Linked DNA regions of Astyanax mexicanus. The protein of the gene in region 1 interacts with the protein of each later gene in a biochemical or structural test. Links are inferred from orthologs where the notes say so. Each region holds a gene or a part of one and is shown on either strand. Other genes may lie near its edges.

What was found.
Region 2: of the proteins of myb (region 1) and nlk2, one has a biochemical effect on the other in vitro, tested with the Homo sapiens proteins (2 studies listed by BioGRID, with this or other methods). The link is inferred for Astyanax mexicanus from reciprocal best matches to the Homo sapiens genes MYB and NLK.

The regions. Positions count from the first base shown.
Region 1 is NC_064420.1:44,418,787-44,426,844, forward strand, and holds the start of myb (transcriptional activator Myb), read left to right. Parts: upstream 1-4,784; 5' UTR 4,785-4,938; coding exon 4,939-4,961; intron 4,962-7,883; coding exon 7,884-8,001; intron 8,002-8,058. UniProt on the Homo sapiens protein: Transcriptional activator; DNA-binding protein that specifically recognize the sequence 5'-YAAC[GT]G-3'. Plays an important role in the control of proliferation and differentiation of hematopoietic progenitor cells.
Region 2 is NC_064425.1:29,108,551-29,116,421, reverse strand, and holds the start of nlk2 (serine/threonine-protein kinase NLK), read left to right. Parts: upstream 1-4,721; 5' UTR 4,722-6,186; coding exon 6,187-6,647; intron 6,648-7,871. UniProt on the Homo sapiens protein: Serine/threonine-protein kinase that regulates a number of transcription factors with key roles in cell fate determination. Positive effector of the non-canonical Wnt signaling pathway, acting downstream of WNT5A, MAP3K7/TAK1 and HIPK2.

The DNA.
Region 1 (8,058 bases):
AAGAATAAATACAAATCTAGTTAATTCACCTGACCATAAAATTCAATGTAAGTTATAGTTATTGTGCAAATTAATTGATGAACAAATTGCCTCAGATTATCAAATTAAATTAAATCTTTCCAGGCTTACCATGCAGGTAATCATTTTGAGCAACAGGTTTAATAAAAAGTGGTCAATTTTCTTATTGGGTGAAGTCGAAATAGATTGGCAGGTACCCCGCCCACTGCCCCCTCCTCTTTGTGTTCCAGCCTGCAGCATTACATACTAAGAGGAGCTTGTTAGTGACATGGTATGTCCAAAAGCATAGACAGAAGTTGTGTGCCTCTAGCTATGTGTAATGCTACTCTTAACCAGGAGAGGGATTTCGTCACACAAAGTACAAAACAAAAATTATTAAAAAAAAAATCCAAAAGCTAAAGTTAAAGCAAATAAATAAATAAATAAATAAAATGCTGCAAGAGGCTGTAAACTAGGAGAATTAGCTGGTGACAAACAAACACTTAGCACTATGCTCGTCATGGTTAGGCTTGGCTAAGATAAGCTAAGGCTAAATAAAAAAGTAGATCCATGAAAGAGAGAGCCCACGGAAAAGAAAAACAAAATACGAGCAAGAAGAAAGACAACATGTTTGTACAGTCCTTCATATACATGATTTTTAATGTGTGGTGAATGAAGGCCCTTGATTTTAATTGGCTAATCAATTAAGTAAGTAATTCAGCAGCCCTGATATTGTTTTAAATGTATTATATGTATATATTTCCAATTTAAAACCAACCTGAAATGAAGGAGAACTCTAACAACTTAACATTCACAACAGATGAGCTTATTCTCCATAGAGGTCATTACTGAGTCATATTCCATTTCTACTATATCCGCTCAAGTGAGAGGATGTCGATATTGCAAGCTTTTCTTTGCTTCTTTGAAAGTATTATGTAATGCATGATGACTTTTACACCTAATGCTGTCCAGATTATGCTCAATATATATACAATTACAGTATACACTACTGTACATCCAAACGTTTGTGGATGTCCATTCTAATGAATGCACTCGTTACTGACTTTTCTTAATTGTTTTATCTTTACTATAAACTTATCAAAATACAACACAAATGATGAATTCCTAACTAAATAAATTTACACAGTTACATGACTGTAGAAAGACTGTGATGCTCCTGGCTCGAGGCTTCTGGAGTCTTCTATGTGTCATTATGTTTTTACAGTGGAGTTAGTAGCCAATCAGATTATCACATTAAAGAAATTACAAAATCTACAAATATTCACATGCTACAAATAGAAGTGTTAAATCCACATCTACAAAATACAACTTTAACCAAAACAAAGAAATGGCTCCAACATTGTCCTCATGTCTGGTGCAGAACTAATTGGAACTGTGTTCTCTGGAACCTTTGAATGACTTGGAGTGTTAGGATGAGGTGGGGTCATGACTTCGCTAAAGCTTTTATTAATGAATGCAATCAAATCCTTATAGCAATTATGCAAAAGCTAGCAGAAGCTGTTGCTGGACAGTACTTTTTTAATACTTTTAACTTCGGAAGGAACGATGAGATAGCAGGTGTTCCTCTTCTTTTTATCCTTATAGTATTTATATACAGAATATTTGCCAAATGCTAATGTTCTGTAATTGAATTAACTTAATTAATCTGTATTTTATTGGTTTGATAATCTGCTGAACACGTGCAACAGTGACTGGAACCCAGTAACGCTGTCTCCAGCATTAACAGAATGACAGTCTAACACTACTCAGATTCCTTTCAGAAACCTGATCTCTGTATTTTAGTAACAATTCAAAGCAATCCGTCTGTAACTAACATGTTTTCTCCCCTCAAAATCTCAAGCACCCCCCAGATTCTCCCGCCTTTTGTTGAAATGCATGGAAGAGCATGTCCAGCCCACGCGGTGACACAACAATGCCACATTTCTGAGCTCCGCTCCACATGAGCATCGGTGGACAGAGACAATGGGCCAATCCGACTGATGTAATTATAAGTGACCGTGACAGTATGACAGTAAATAAGAGCAAGACAGAGCTGAGGGAACAAAACACAGGCCTACAGGTTTTGCTGATTCCGACAGATCTGCTATGTGTGTGTGTGTGGGTGTGTTTGTGTGTGTAAAAGACAAAGGGACAATTAAGTACACTGAAACATGTAATACACTACATTAACTTGTGTACAGTTTACTTATTTTTAAGCCAATTGAAATTTACTCAAATTCTAACAAATATCTTTCACAAATGTTCTTTTCACTTAAGAGTTTACAGTTTACTTACGTTAAAATCAGTTTAAAGACTTTAAATCAGAAACGTAACTCCAACTTTTACCTCAATGTTTACAGCCTACACCGAAAAAAGCAGTGATCACTAGATCTCATACTTTAAAGTTAATACTACAGTCTACTGTGAGAAAATGAATCACCACTAGAACTTAAAAAAGCAATACAACTCAAAGCGTTAATTCAGAGTTTAGTTCAGTTTTTAGTAAAGTTTACAATGAAAAACAGTGACTAAACATTAATCTCAATGATTTGTATTCAATCAGATTAAAGATATTAACTCAATGATTACAGTTTACAGTAATAAAAGAATGAACACTAGAAATGGTTCCCAATATAACTCTAGTAATCTTTCATTTTAGCAGTGTGCACATTCTAGAGTTTATGATTGTGTAATAACACAGTGAGGGCAAAGTTCATGATGTTTTCTTATAAGCTACTGAAAAAAAAAACTTAGAACCACCAGTGGTTTCTGGCTTTCCCCAATACATTAACTTAGGAATAACTCAGCCACTTTGCATGTATTTGCATATATTTACCAATTAGTAAGCCTTAGGGTGTAATAAAAGTCACAGAGCAAAGGGGGCTAAATATTTTGCATGTCAGCTTCACAGGATCTATAAGATAACTTCTCTAAGACAAAGTAAATTTTTTTTAGAACCATTTTCATTTAATTGCTATGTTCTGCAACAATGTAGGGTTAATACTATATATGTTATATATGCTTCCAAACCTTAAGACTAGATTAGACTAATGGCAAGCCAAGGGCAAGGGCAAACTGAAAGAAAAAAGACAACTGAAACCATAAAATTATCTTAAAGTGAAAGTGAGAGTGGACGGATACAGGCTGTACTGCAGACAGCCAGTCAATATACAGTATTAAGTTCAGCTAAAGTCTGTAGGACAATAAAAGTATAATATAATCAGAGATGTATAGTAACATAGTACAACTACTTCACTACTGTACTGAAGTACTAAAATACTAAAGTAATAATATCTGCGTCTACTGGAGTATTATTTTTTCTCCTACTACATTTTTATTCATGTGCTGCATCGTTACTTGTTACAATTATAAAAATGTTAGGAATCATTCTGCCTTTCACTCTGAGAACTTTTCACTGATTTCTGTTTTTGATAGGACACTGGTGCTTTTACTTAAGTCTGGGTCTCTAGTACCTTCAGAGGTGTCAAGTACCTTACTTGTGTAGACATTTTGGTTATCTACTCTACTGGAGTAACTATTTTTCAGAAGACTTTTCACTTTTACTCCTACCATTTTCACATGATTATCTGTACCTTCTACTTCTTAAATATAGCCTCGGTTTCTCTTCATAAAAAAAAAACATTCTTGAACATAGAGTGAATTTAATTGTGGTTGAATCAGAAGTATAAACATTTCGGCACCCGATTTATTGGTTTTTACGCGATTCATCGTACCTGCACGTCACGTCACACTCCAGCAAGAACAAAGCAGACAAATGTAGCCTAGTATGAAGATGATCCGTGCTCGAGACAAACGTCCAACTAAGCTTCCTTAATATATTTACATAAAACTAAATTACATCCATTTCAATGGGCATATATGCAGCTGAAACAGGTACTGCAGGTGTTCTCAACTGGTCTCAGACCGGGCCAACATTTTCAAATTGTGGTCATTTAGTTGCGACCCACTTTTATAGAATACAAAAACCTATTTAAACATACATATGCATGCAAAAAAGAGCATTTTTAATTTGAGGAGGAACATGACAACTACATGTATAAAAGTTACTACAATAAAATTAAATATCAGATCTGCACAAAATAAATAAGGCCACAAAACTAGATATTTGCCTAATCATTTGCCTTCATTTTTCCCCAATATAGAAGACGAAAAAAAATCAGATGAGCATTAATTATTTTTTAAAAAGCATGTATTTTTTTTTACAAATCCTGTCCCACCAGTTGATAATTGCTGGCCTTGTGGTGTGGCCTAAGCTTTTGTCCTTAATGCACTTAATTTTTTGGTACATTACTTTTACTATTATACTTTAAGTAGCTTTGAAACCAGCATTTTTACACTTTTTCTTTATTAGCAAAAAGCTTGAATTGATACTGCATAAGTATTTATGTTAAAACCCTTATATCTATACTTCTACCTACAGAGTAATGAATGTGAATACTATGTGCATTAGTTATAATATAATCGGTTGCTATTGAGAACAGGGACACGTGTGTTTAAAAGCTGGCATATCTAGTCCACATTTGCAGAACACACACTGTTTCGTATCAAATATCCCTTTTCACCCCTGGTTTACCTCAGAAAATCAACGAAAGAGGCTTAAAAACAATAGAGACAAAGTTTAGCGCGAGCTGAGGGCTAAATGGCGCTCTGGGTGACAGGAGTGCGTCAGGAACCTCCGTGCGCATGCGCGGCCCAGAGGCGCCAAATTAAGCGGGAGGGAACTCAGCTTTTGTCTGATGCATGCATGTTAGAGTGTGCGTGCGCGCGCGCGTGTGAGTGTGTGTGTGTTTACACTCTGCTTGTAGTGAACTTAATGTCAGCCTACTTCCTTCTCTAAGCGGAGCCTCTGGGAGCTTATAGGCGCAGAGCACACACACTCTCACACACTCACACACACTCCACCTTCCACGGAGCAGCGGGATGTCGAGGCTCAAGAGACACAGGTAACGGCAACCGGGTTAATTAACGTTACCGCAGCTTTTTTAGTTGCTTACAGTTACCGTGCATGAGTAACGATTGATATTATTAAGCTAGCGTTACACTCTTTACATTTCCCCCCTCTCTCTCTCTCTGTATCTTTTTATGTGTGTTTCTATGTCTCTTACCCACTCTAATTTCAGCTTTTGCTAAAACTTTGTTTGTCGTTTTCGCCTGTTTTATAGTTAGTTTCTAACTTAGTTAATAGTGCAGCTCTAACGGCTCGTGCACGGCGGCACATGGCTCTGAGCTCGAGCGCTCGACAGCTCGCGCGTTGAGGGCTGGCTGGTAACAGGTGGATTAGCTAGCGCGAGCTGTAGTGGCCGGCGTGGCGCGTGCGCTGCGGACCCCCGCACTGCCATTCATTCATGCCATCGTTCAGTTTCTCGTGCCTATTCTGTAAACCTTGCTCTCTCTTCTCTCTCTTTCTATGCACGTGAGGATAACGATGGTTATACGTCAGTTCCCATACTGTGGAGTCCGTTCATACACCTGATAGATAGTTAGCATTGAGAACGTTGAGTAAACGTTAGTTTAGTTTACGTTTTTTGGTTGCATTAACCTTCCTATCTAGCTACATTTTTAAGATGGCTAGCTAGATGATGGAAAAATTGAAAAAAATATATATATTTATTTAACATAGGCATAGTTAGCTAATGTTCATGTTTGGAATTTCTGACATTAAAGCAACGTTCATTTAAAGGTTTTAAAGGGTTTTGGCTCTACCTAACTAACTACTACAGTACACTCACAGTACAGTGCTTTAAGGTAACAGGTGCTCCTCATAAATATTAATAATTATTATTATAAAATTCTGACTTTGGAGACTAACGTTGACTAACGTTTTTTTCATTGCATTAGAACATTGATTCAACATTTTTTGCTATCTGGGTAGCTATTAATACGAGCGTTACGACTTGTGGTAAGAAAGCTATGCCTATGAGGTAGCTAACTAACTTGTTGGATTCCAGAACATTTAGCGTTAGTTAAATGTTAATGCTAAATCAACACCATGTATGTAGGTTAACATTTTATCTAATACTCACCATATTAGCCAACGGTAGCTTAATTTGACTCTGAAAGTGATGATTTAACACTTATTTGAAGCAGTGAAGACGTGTTGCCTGTTGTTTAATCTATTTTAGAAGCACGTTTTTCCACTTTAATTGCGATTGTCACCTGAAATAGCATATCTTTAGTCTCATTTTAGTCTTGGTAATGCTTTAAATCGCTTTAAAACTTAAGCATAACCTTGCAAACTTAACGTTACCTTGCACTTTAATGAAAGTAACGCTAAAAACGTTAATATATAACATTTACGTTCGTTAACAGAACAAAATAAACGTTTAACATTTTTTAAAAAGCTGTAACGGTTTAGAATGCAGCGAGAATTTAAATTTAAACTTTCACATTTTAAACCAACCGCCAAAGGAACGCGGCACGCCGAGCGCACGCGGGGTGATGGACTCGAGTGACACCGTGCACGAGCCACCACCAACACCACCACCGTGCTGGTAGGATGTGCTGCAGCTTAGCAGGACAAAGCTGCGCGCGTGTGTGTGTGTGTGTGTACGTTTGTTTGGACGATATATTGTGTCAGAACTATTTGGAGTAAAAAAAAAGAGTATTGTGATTTTAAAAGTCTATTTTATGCCACTGATATAATACATGTAGTTACACACTGTTGAAGAGCTGAAATCTTTTAAATAGTGGGAATATTTACAAACTGCAAGTGGAATAAAAGTTTACACATGGCTCATTTATGTAAATATATATATATATATATATATATATATATATATATATATATATATATTTTTTTTTTTTTTTTTTTTTTTTTAAGAAAACACAATGTGGAGGTCAGAAAAATGAGTGAGCTTGTCTATATATTATATGATAAGACATAAGATAGCATGCCTTCTCCCTCATAGCAGCAATACTGTCATAAATTACATCAATGTAGTAGACCCTAAAATTAAGCCCTGTGGGCCTAAACTGTCCCCACATTATGAATTGCAAATTTAAAAGTTTCTGAATTTAATAAGAATTCTGTTTAATAACAGAATAACAAACCTAGGGTTCAAAAGGTTAACCAAAAATAGGGTGAACATCATGAAGAAAGGGGGCTATTGTCCTGCTCCTATTTTCTTATCTGTAGATCAGTTCACCAAGTAGTTATAATAAACACAAGGCTCACACACACACACATACAGTATATATACACAACACTGACACAAAGGCCAGGGCAGCTCCGTCTTCCACGTAAGCTGTGCATTATTCTAATTGGCTGAAAGCTGGCCAGGTGAGTTTTGTAGAGTACCTGCACAGGTCTGAACACGCTGCGGTGAGGAAACACTCTCAGTCCGTGTTCACACTTAGCGTATCTGTGGAAACCAAAAACATCAGAACAGGTTTCTCTCAGCCTGCTGGCAGTACAGGTTCAGCCACTTCTGGTTTTGTTTTGACTGTTATCGCTTAATTTTTCTATTATACATGATGCTATGAAGGGACAGGGCTGGATTTAATATACCAACATCCGTCAGGCACGTTCACGCTCTCTCCCTCAAGCTATTGTTGTCCATGTGCTGTGTCCTTTCTGAGAAAACAAAGCGTTTTAAACAAGCACTTTTAGATGTTCATTAAGGATGTAAGTGTACATATAGACAAATTAGAAAAAGATCTGTGCCATTTTTACTAATTACACTGAACATAGTCCCCTCCTTTTCTTCACTTTCCCTTTTTTAACTCTCTCTTTCTGTGCCCTCCCCTCCCCTCATTTGCCCCTTTTCCCACTTACTTTCACTGCCCCTTGTTACCCCCTCCTTCTCCGTATTGTCTCTTCCTCACTCACTCACTCCCTTAATTATCCTTTCCCTTGTCTTTTTCAGTGTTTACAGCAGCGATGAAGAAGATGACGATGTGGAGAGTTATGAACATGACTATGATGCCCCTTCGGCCAAGACAGGAAAACGGCACTTAGGCAAAACACGCTGGACACGTGAAGAGGTAAGCAGAAGCACTGTAAGAGTATGTATGTATTGTATATATGTATATAAAGTACTT
Region 2 (7,871 bases), on another chromosome or scaffold:
CTATGGCTACATTCACATTACCAGGCTGAAGTGACTCAAATCTGATTCGGCTCAGATCAGATTTTTTCATGGCTGTGTAAACGTACCAAATCTGTTTTTTTGTTGTTTTTTTTCAAATCAGGTTTCTATGTGGTTCTAAATCGGATACATATTCGATCCATGGACATGAGACATGAATGTGAACGGTCAAATTGGAATTAGTGTGTCTTTTTTGCTTTTACGCATGCGCTACATGCTATCTCTCGTACCCACACATCTTTTGGTGCAGCTGTGCAGCTATAGCTCTAAAAAACAGCAAAAGCAAACCACCTGGCCTTTTTTTCAACTCCTCTACCTGAGCATGTACTTCAGACAAGCTGTTTGCTGTTTCTCCACTCCAGCAATAGATGCTCCACATATGAGATGTTAACTCATCATTTCCCTTTTTAAAGCTACGAGTCGTCTCTCAAATATGACGTTTTTTGTTGTTGTTGGTGAGGAAGGAGACGTTTATACAGGTATCAATGTGCACACGTGAGCCATTTCAGGGACAGATTCGTTCACATTACACACAGATACAGCTCACTTACATTTGTGAATGTGAACTGTCAAGACAGCCAAATCTGATCTGAGCAAAAAATCTGGCTTGTAATGTGAACGTAAGTTATTTCCTGATTAGCTAATAGTTAGCATGTTAGAGTCAGATCTGCCATGCTCTTATCATCTGTGTTCAGAACTAATTCTATCTATTTACCTTTCTCATTAGGTCATCCTGCTACCTTCTGTTCACCAATCAGCTACTGCTATACCTGCCTCTACCTGGACTAGTTGCCACCCTTTATAATTGACAAGATTAACATGGACTATTAATTATGATAATATGAAGTAATATGAATAAGTAATATGAAGTATTACTATTTTAGTTGTAATTATTATTAATATTCCCACTATCAACCATCACTATTACTTTCATTATTCTTACCACCACACTACTATGACTATATCAGTACAGCAATTTTGACCAAAGGAGGATGGGTCCCCGTGTTCAATCTTTTCTCATATTACAGATTTATGTCGAGATGCTTTGCAACAACATATAAAACATATTAAAAAAGTGTTACATAACTACATTTCATTTTATTTCATTTAATAAAAGCTTTCTAACAAGTTAATAACCCCATAAAAATGACATTAATAACTCTAGGCCTCTAATAACTGAATACCGATGAGTCAGCTTTGATCTTTAAATAATTGAACACTGCATGACTGCTATAAAGCATATTGTGAGCTTTGAGTCATCAGGTCAGAAAGGCTGGCAGCTCGTTATTCCTGTTTGAGGAATGAGCTCAGAGCAGTTTGATCATCTCTGTGGACAATGGTGATGAAGCCTGACTTCCAGGTCTTCCCAGAGCTTCAGTTAGCCCACACCCGCAGGTGACACGCACTGGCAGCGTTTGATGTAGAGCATGATACACTCATCTATAAGAACTAGGCCTGTGCTTAAAGGAGGACATGGCCCTTAATTTAAGCCTGGGCATGGGATTAATTGCTTTGTTTTAAATAGTGCCTGTATTTAATGAGAAACGTACAACAGTTGCCGTTCCTGAGGTTCTTTTTTTCCCCACAGTGTCTCACCTTGAATTAGTTTCGCTGCTTAATGCTCTGACAGAAAAATGCTTTCAACTGCAGGTGGCACCCGTAACTGTAATGACACAATTTCTATAAAAGAAAAGAATGTGTGATATTAAGTCATGTAGACGCTGCATTAAAAGTGTTTTGAAAAACTGTAATTGGTCTATTTGCTTTACACAAACAAGTAATATTCTGTGCACAGGGTGGAGACTGTACAGAACTGTGTAGACATAATGTGCTATTTGCCACCTTTTGTTTTTGCCTTTTTTGTCATACTTATTTTTCAGACTGTCAAACAAAAGCGCTTTTTAAATTAACTAAGGAAAAAAAATATTCAAACATATTTGGCTGTATGTGTAAAAGCAATTGAAATGATCAGTGGTGAACCTCTTCAGGAGTGATTAATCTACCAAAATTACTCCAAAAGGGCATGAACAACTCATCCAGAACAACATCTAAAGGCCTGTTTCATATTTGCCAACAAATGTGAGATACTCCCCATTTTTTTGGGAAAATATTCTGTGAGCTGGTGAGACAAAAGTGGAACTTTTTGGAATGTGTGAGTCCTGTTACATCATACTAAAAACACGATGGTGGTAGTGTGATGGTCTGGGGCTGCTTTGCTGCTTTAAGACCTGGACAACTTGCTGTAATAGATGGAACCATGAATTCTGCTCTACCAGAAACTCCTGAAGGAAAATCTCGGCCATCGGTTCATGACGTTAAGCTCAGGTGTATTTGGGTTCTGCAGCAGGACAATGATAAAAAGCACACCACCACAACAATGTTTTGGGGTCAGAGTCTGATTGAGATGCTGTGGGCCAGAATTCTTCCACAGAGTGTGAAAGACTCATTGCCAGTTATCACAAACACTTGATGGCAAACAGCGCACAACCAAGTCGTTAGGTTTAGGTGAAAATACTTTTTTACAAAGGGCCATGTTGATTTGGATAGATTTTTTACCCATATCAAATTAAATGATGATTTAAAAGTGATTTTATATTTACTTAGGTTATCTTTGCCAGACAATAAATGTGCTTTTTAATCTGAAAAATGCAAGTATATGATAAACAAGCAAAAATAATTAATCATGCGTGTTTTCTTTGTTAAAATGCAGTTAGTCACTTTCCACAGATCATTATAAATATATATTTATTAATAATAAATATATATATATATATATATATATATATATATATATATATATATATATATATATATATATGGGCGGCACGGTGGCGCAGTGGGTAGCATTTCCGCCTCACAGCAAGACGTTTGATTCCCGGCTGGGGCAACCCGGGTCTTCCTGTGTGGAGTTTGCACGTTCTCCCCGTGTCTGCGTGGGTTTCCTCCAGGTTCTCTGGTTTCCTCCCACAGTCCAAGGACGGCACGTTCAGACTAATTGGAACTTGATTGAAATTGCCCCTTAGGTGTGAGTGTGTGAGTGAATGTGTCTGTTTGTCTGTCTGTGTCTGTCTGCCCTGCGATGGATTGGCGGCCTGTCCAGGGTGTATCCTGCCTTCCGTCCGATGCCTGCTGGGACAGGCTCCAGCCTATATATATCTCAAGTGACTATTTATACAGATACTGTTTTAGATTTGTAAGCTCACCTTCCCAGAATAATCAAAATTCTTTTGACAAATTTTATTGATTTTTTCTCTCTAAATCATCTCCTCATGACACTAGCCACCTGTGGTAAAATCCCCTATACTCTCAGTTTTAGGAATGCAAAGAGTGTGACTTAAGCTAGTAAATTATGCCTAAAAAAGATGGCAGCTCCCTTCACTGATCTAATTTTCCAACATCCCCACCTAGTAAGTGATGAGAGTTTTACTATTATATAAAGTTTACTTTTTATGAATACATTTTAGTCTCATTATTGAGGTTTATTTTTTATTATTTATTTTTTTTTCTGTATTTTTAGTTTGGATTTTAGTCAGCAGTCAATTCCATAAAGCTAGAAGTATTCTAGAAGTGGCTGTTAAAATGTTTTCTGATTTTTAAATCAATATTTTTAGAATTCAGGATTTAGGATTGAACTGCTTGACTGTATGATAAAATATCCTCTTAAACCATTGCTTATTTTTAAATGTCTAATGTTTATGTATTTCCTATAAAAAAAAACTTGAAAATATGAGTTAGGCGATTTTTTTACGATTACTTTAGGAAGGTGCTGGATGAGAAAGTTCACCTGACCCCAAACCCAAACTTTACCGCCGCCTGTACCTTTACCCCGGCGGCTGCACGCCTGGGGCAGTAACCTGCCGGCGGATGGTGGCAGTCATTCCCAGCCCAGAGAGGCCGTTCAGCGGCGGGCTGAATAACTGCTCAATTTAATTATTTTATTATTTGCCTCCGCTTGATCTGCAGCGGGCAGAGCGGAGCTCCAGCTCGGCCATTTGGGTTGGTTTGGCCCGTCCGCTCCCCCGGCGCTGGCCTGTGTTGTGCCGATTTGTGCTACCCTGTCAAAACGTGCTTCGACAGCGAAGCTCTATTTATAGGTAGAGCTGCCTAGGTAAAACAAACAGTATGGAAAAGAAAAATACGTTCTGGTTTCCGTTTAAAACGTTTAGAAGCACCATATCTTACATACTCCCAGCAGAAGTATAGCTGGATTTTATATGGCCAAAATAAGTGCATCAGGGAAATATACGCTCAAAAAAAAAAAAAAAAAAAACGAAACTAAGCTTTTTTATGTTTGTTTTTAATTTGCTTTAATTTTATTTTAACCTCAAGGAAATAGTTACAGTAAGCTTATATTATTTTATGCAAGCGATGAAAAGTATAGGTTATTTTTATTAATGATTTTTATCATAAAAAATCCACATTAAAAAACCTTTTTCAAACATGTGAGTCGGCGCATGCGCACGGCCTCTAAGCAGCAGATTTTGACGGGTAGTGCAACTTGACAGAACACCGGCTCTCTCTTGCCGTAATGGCGTCCGTTTCACAGGCAACAGGCCCCACTTTGTTTTGCTGCTGGGGTCGCTCGCCTGTTTCCGCCCCCTTCCGCCCATTGGCTGCAAGCCCGCATTAGAGGCGAGAGCGGCGCGCTGTGATTGGTTGAGGGTGGCTGGGTCGCGACGCGGTTGGTCAGAATGGACGTCGGTCACGGGCGTCAGTCATAAGGGGAGGGGGGGAGTCGACGGTTGGTCTGAAGAAGCTCAGGCTCGGGCGCGTGTTGCCTTAACGTCCAGGCGGCAGCAGCAGCAGCGGGGTCCGGCTGTGGCTGCGCGATTCCTCCGCGGTGCGCGGAGCTGTGGATCTGTTTTCCTGGAGCGGATTTATGCCAGGGTGTCTGGAAGGAACAGCAGTGTAGGGTTAGCTGCCTCACGCCGGAGGAGTCGATGGAGAAAATAAGTTGACTGGCTCCGGAAGAATTTGTGTTCTTCGCTCCGGGGAGGAGAAGGGGTGATTCGGCTTGTTTCGTCGACGCGATGGGGGCTTGGGGACCGGAGGGGCTTCGGGGGCTTCGATTTTGACGTTTGGGAAAAGGAGAAGCAGCGAGATTTACAGCTACAGCTGTTCAGGAGTACCTGTCGTATCCATCCACCCTGCCAGCCAGCCAGCCTCTCCTAGCTCTAACCCAGAAGCAGGAATAGCTGCATATATGGAGGGGGTTTGGTCCACTTTCTGCCCCGAAACAGAGTGATCTCAGCCGCCTAGCGAGCACCAGAGCTCCGTGCTGGTTGTGGAGGTGCTGGCCTTGGGCGAGAATCCAGTGCTAACTTCTTCACTGACTCCAAAAACACTGCATGCAGCCTCCGGCCGTGGAAGCAGCCTCGGCTCCGGACCAGCCAACATGGCCAATGTGAAGAAGTCTAAAAGATGAAGGTTGCATTCCCCACTTAACCCACCACATTCAGTTTCAACCTTCTCACTCTTAAACAGGAGATAAAAGGAGGGAAACAAGGGCCTCAGGTTGTTTGGAGAGTGGAGAGCTTTCTTACCTCCAACATGAGGGAGATTTAAGGCCATACAGGATCTCTGGACTGAGGGGGGAGTGGGATTTTTGTTAGTCACATCATCATCATCACCATCATCATCAACATTTATTTTCTTTCATTCTTCTTTCTCTTTCATTTCCTTGCTTTTTTTAGCTGTTCAGGCTTTTTCTGAATGTGCAGTTGTGATTGTGGTCTGATTGTGGGAAATTTGTAGTGCCTGCCTGGCCATAAGAGAGCAAAGCGCATTTCCCAGAAGTAGGTCAGATCAAATGGAAGATAGCTAGCTTAGCTGAAGCATGGAGTTGACTTTATGAGAGCTGAGAGAGAGGGAAAGAGAGAGAGAGACAGAGCTGGTGCACTCATGTTAAAGCCACTCAAATCTAGTCTTGTCACTCAACATCTTTTCACACTTGTCACACTTACTTTGCTCTACTCCAAGCATTTTTGTTTGGATATGTCCATCCATTGGATAGATAGCAGGCCAATGATCTAGGCTAGGCCTCTTCCATCTCTTCGCCTGTTTGATCTTTCAGGAGACCCCATTTTCGCTCTTGTCCCCTTTCTCTTTAGTTTTGTTTTTCTCTTCCTTTCTTTTCGCTTTCCCTCTCTTCCTCTGGCTGTTGAGTGAATGGCTCTTTGCGGGACGACGGCGACCAATGCCGCAAAAATGATGGCTGCGTACAGTGGCGGCGCCTCGGCCGTGGCGGCCCATCACCCTCACCACCACCACCAACTGCCACACCTTCCGCCTCCTCACCTGCACCATCACCACCACCCGGGCCAGCACCACCTGCAGCACCCTGGCTCGGCTGCGGCCGTGCACCCTGTGCAACAGCAGCACGCCTCGGCCGCGGCTGCGGCGGCTGCAGTCATGCTGAACCCGAGCCAGCAACAGCCGTACTTCCCTTCGCCTGCTCCCGGACAAGCCCCTGGCCCGGCGGCGGCTGCAGCCCCAGCTCAGGTCCAGGCGGCGGCCGCTGCGGCAGTCAAGGCGCATCATCACCACCATCAGCATGCTCACCACTTGCAGCAGCAACTGGACATCGAGCCGGACAGGCCCATTGGATACGGAGCCTTCGGTGTGGTCTGGTGAGTGGCGGCCTGTTTTGCTGAAGCAGGTTCTTTAGCTTCAATCTCCTGAACTCTGTGGCAGGGGTGTCAGGCTTGAGTCTTGGAGGGCTGCAGCTCTGCAGAGTTTAGGCCTCATGTTTTGAGGCCTCCGTTGAGGCCACCACTATAATAACTACTTGGGCATAGTTTCCATGTAGTTCTAAAATAACCAACATTAATAAAACTATCTCAAATAAAGTTATTTGAAAGTCTTCTTTCCGCAATTTTGTTTAAGAAACATTTACTTTTGGTTCCTTTTGGTTTTGGTGGTCAAACTAGACTTTGGGGACAAGTAGACTGTTCTCACATTGCTCCATTGCTGTGTTGTAACCATTGAAAACCATCAAGACTTCTGTGAGAATCACTGCTATAGGATGTGTTAGTGAAAGGTTCTTTAGTATACATTTGAACACATGGCTTTTTAGTAGAACACAAAGGATCTTTAATATTTAGTAGCATCACATTTATCATTACGAGTGTAATCGCTAAGAAAATATTTAGTCTTAAGCTTACAACAAGCTTAACAAACAGTAAACAGGTTCAAGGAGTTAACATGTCTGGGAAGACAGCTCATCAGCTGATTAGCAATGATCTTTTTTCAAGAGTTGAGTAAGTCCAGAGTGGCACAGGATGGCAGCACGATGGAAACAAATCTCAGCAGACGTCTGACCCTCCAGGATCTGAAGTTGACACCCCTGCTGTTGGCTCATTATTCATTATTGTTATTAACCAGAATGGCTTATTACTCAGTAACTGCTATGAACAGCTTAGAATTGCTTAGTAACAACTGCCTGACCAAGGCAGAGGTCATTCACATCACCTGCTCTTTGAGATCTACCCAGACTTTAGCATCAACCATTGTCATTTAACTTCCCCATGAATAATTGAATTATTGAGATGTTTTTTGATTAACAGAGTCAGGTGTTAGATTTTGCTTGAGGGTGAAAGCTGCTGAGTCTATTAGTTTTCTATTGGAAGGAAGGATGGCCACCACTTCAAGATATGTGACTATAAGAGTGATAAACTTTTGGATGTGGACTTGGACTTTGTGATGGTGTATGTATTATGTTTAAAATGAGTTTAAAAGAGTCTAAAAAGTGGTGTCTGTAGTCTTATCCACAGTCTTGTCTTAACAGTGCCAAACAGAAGCTTATGCCATCAGTTGTTGGAAGTTTGACCAATTGATTATCCTCATAAAACCTA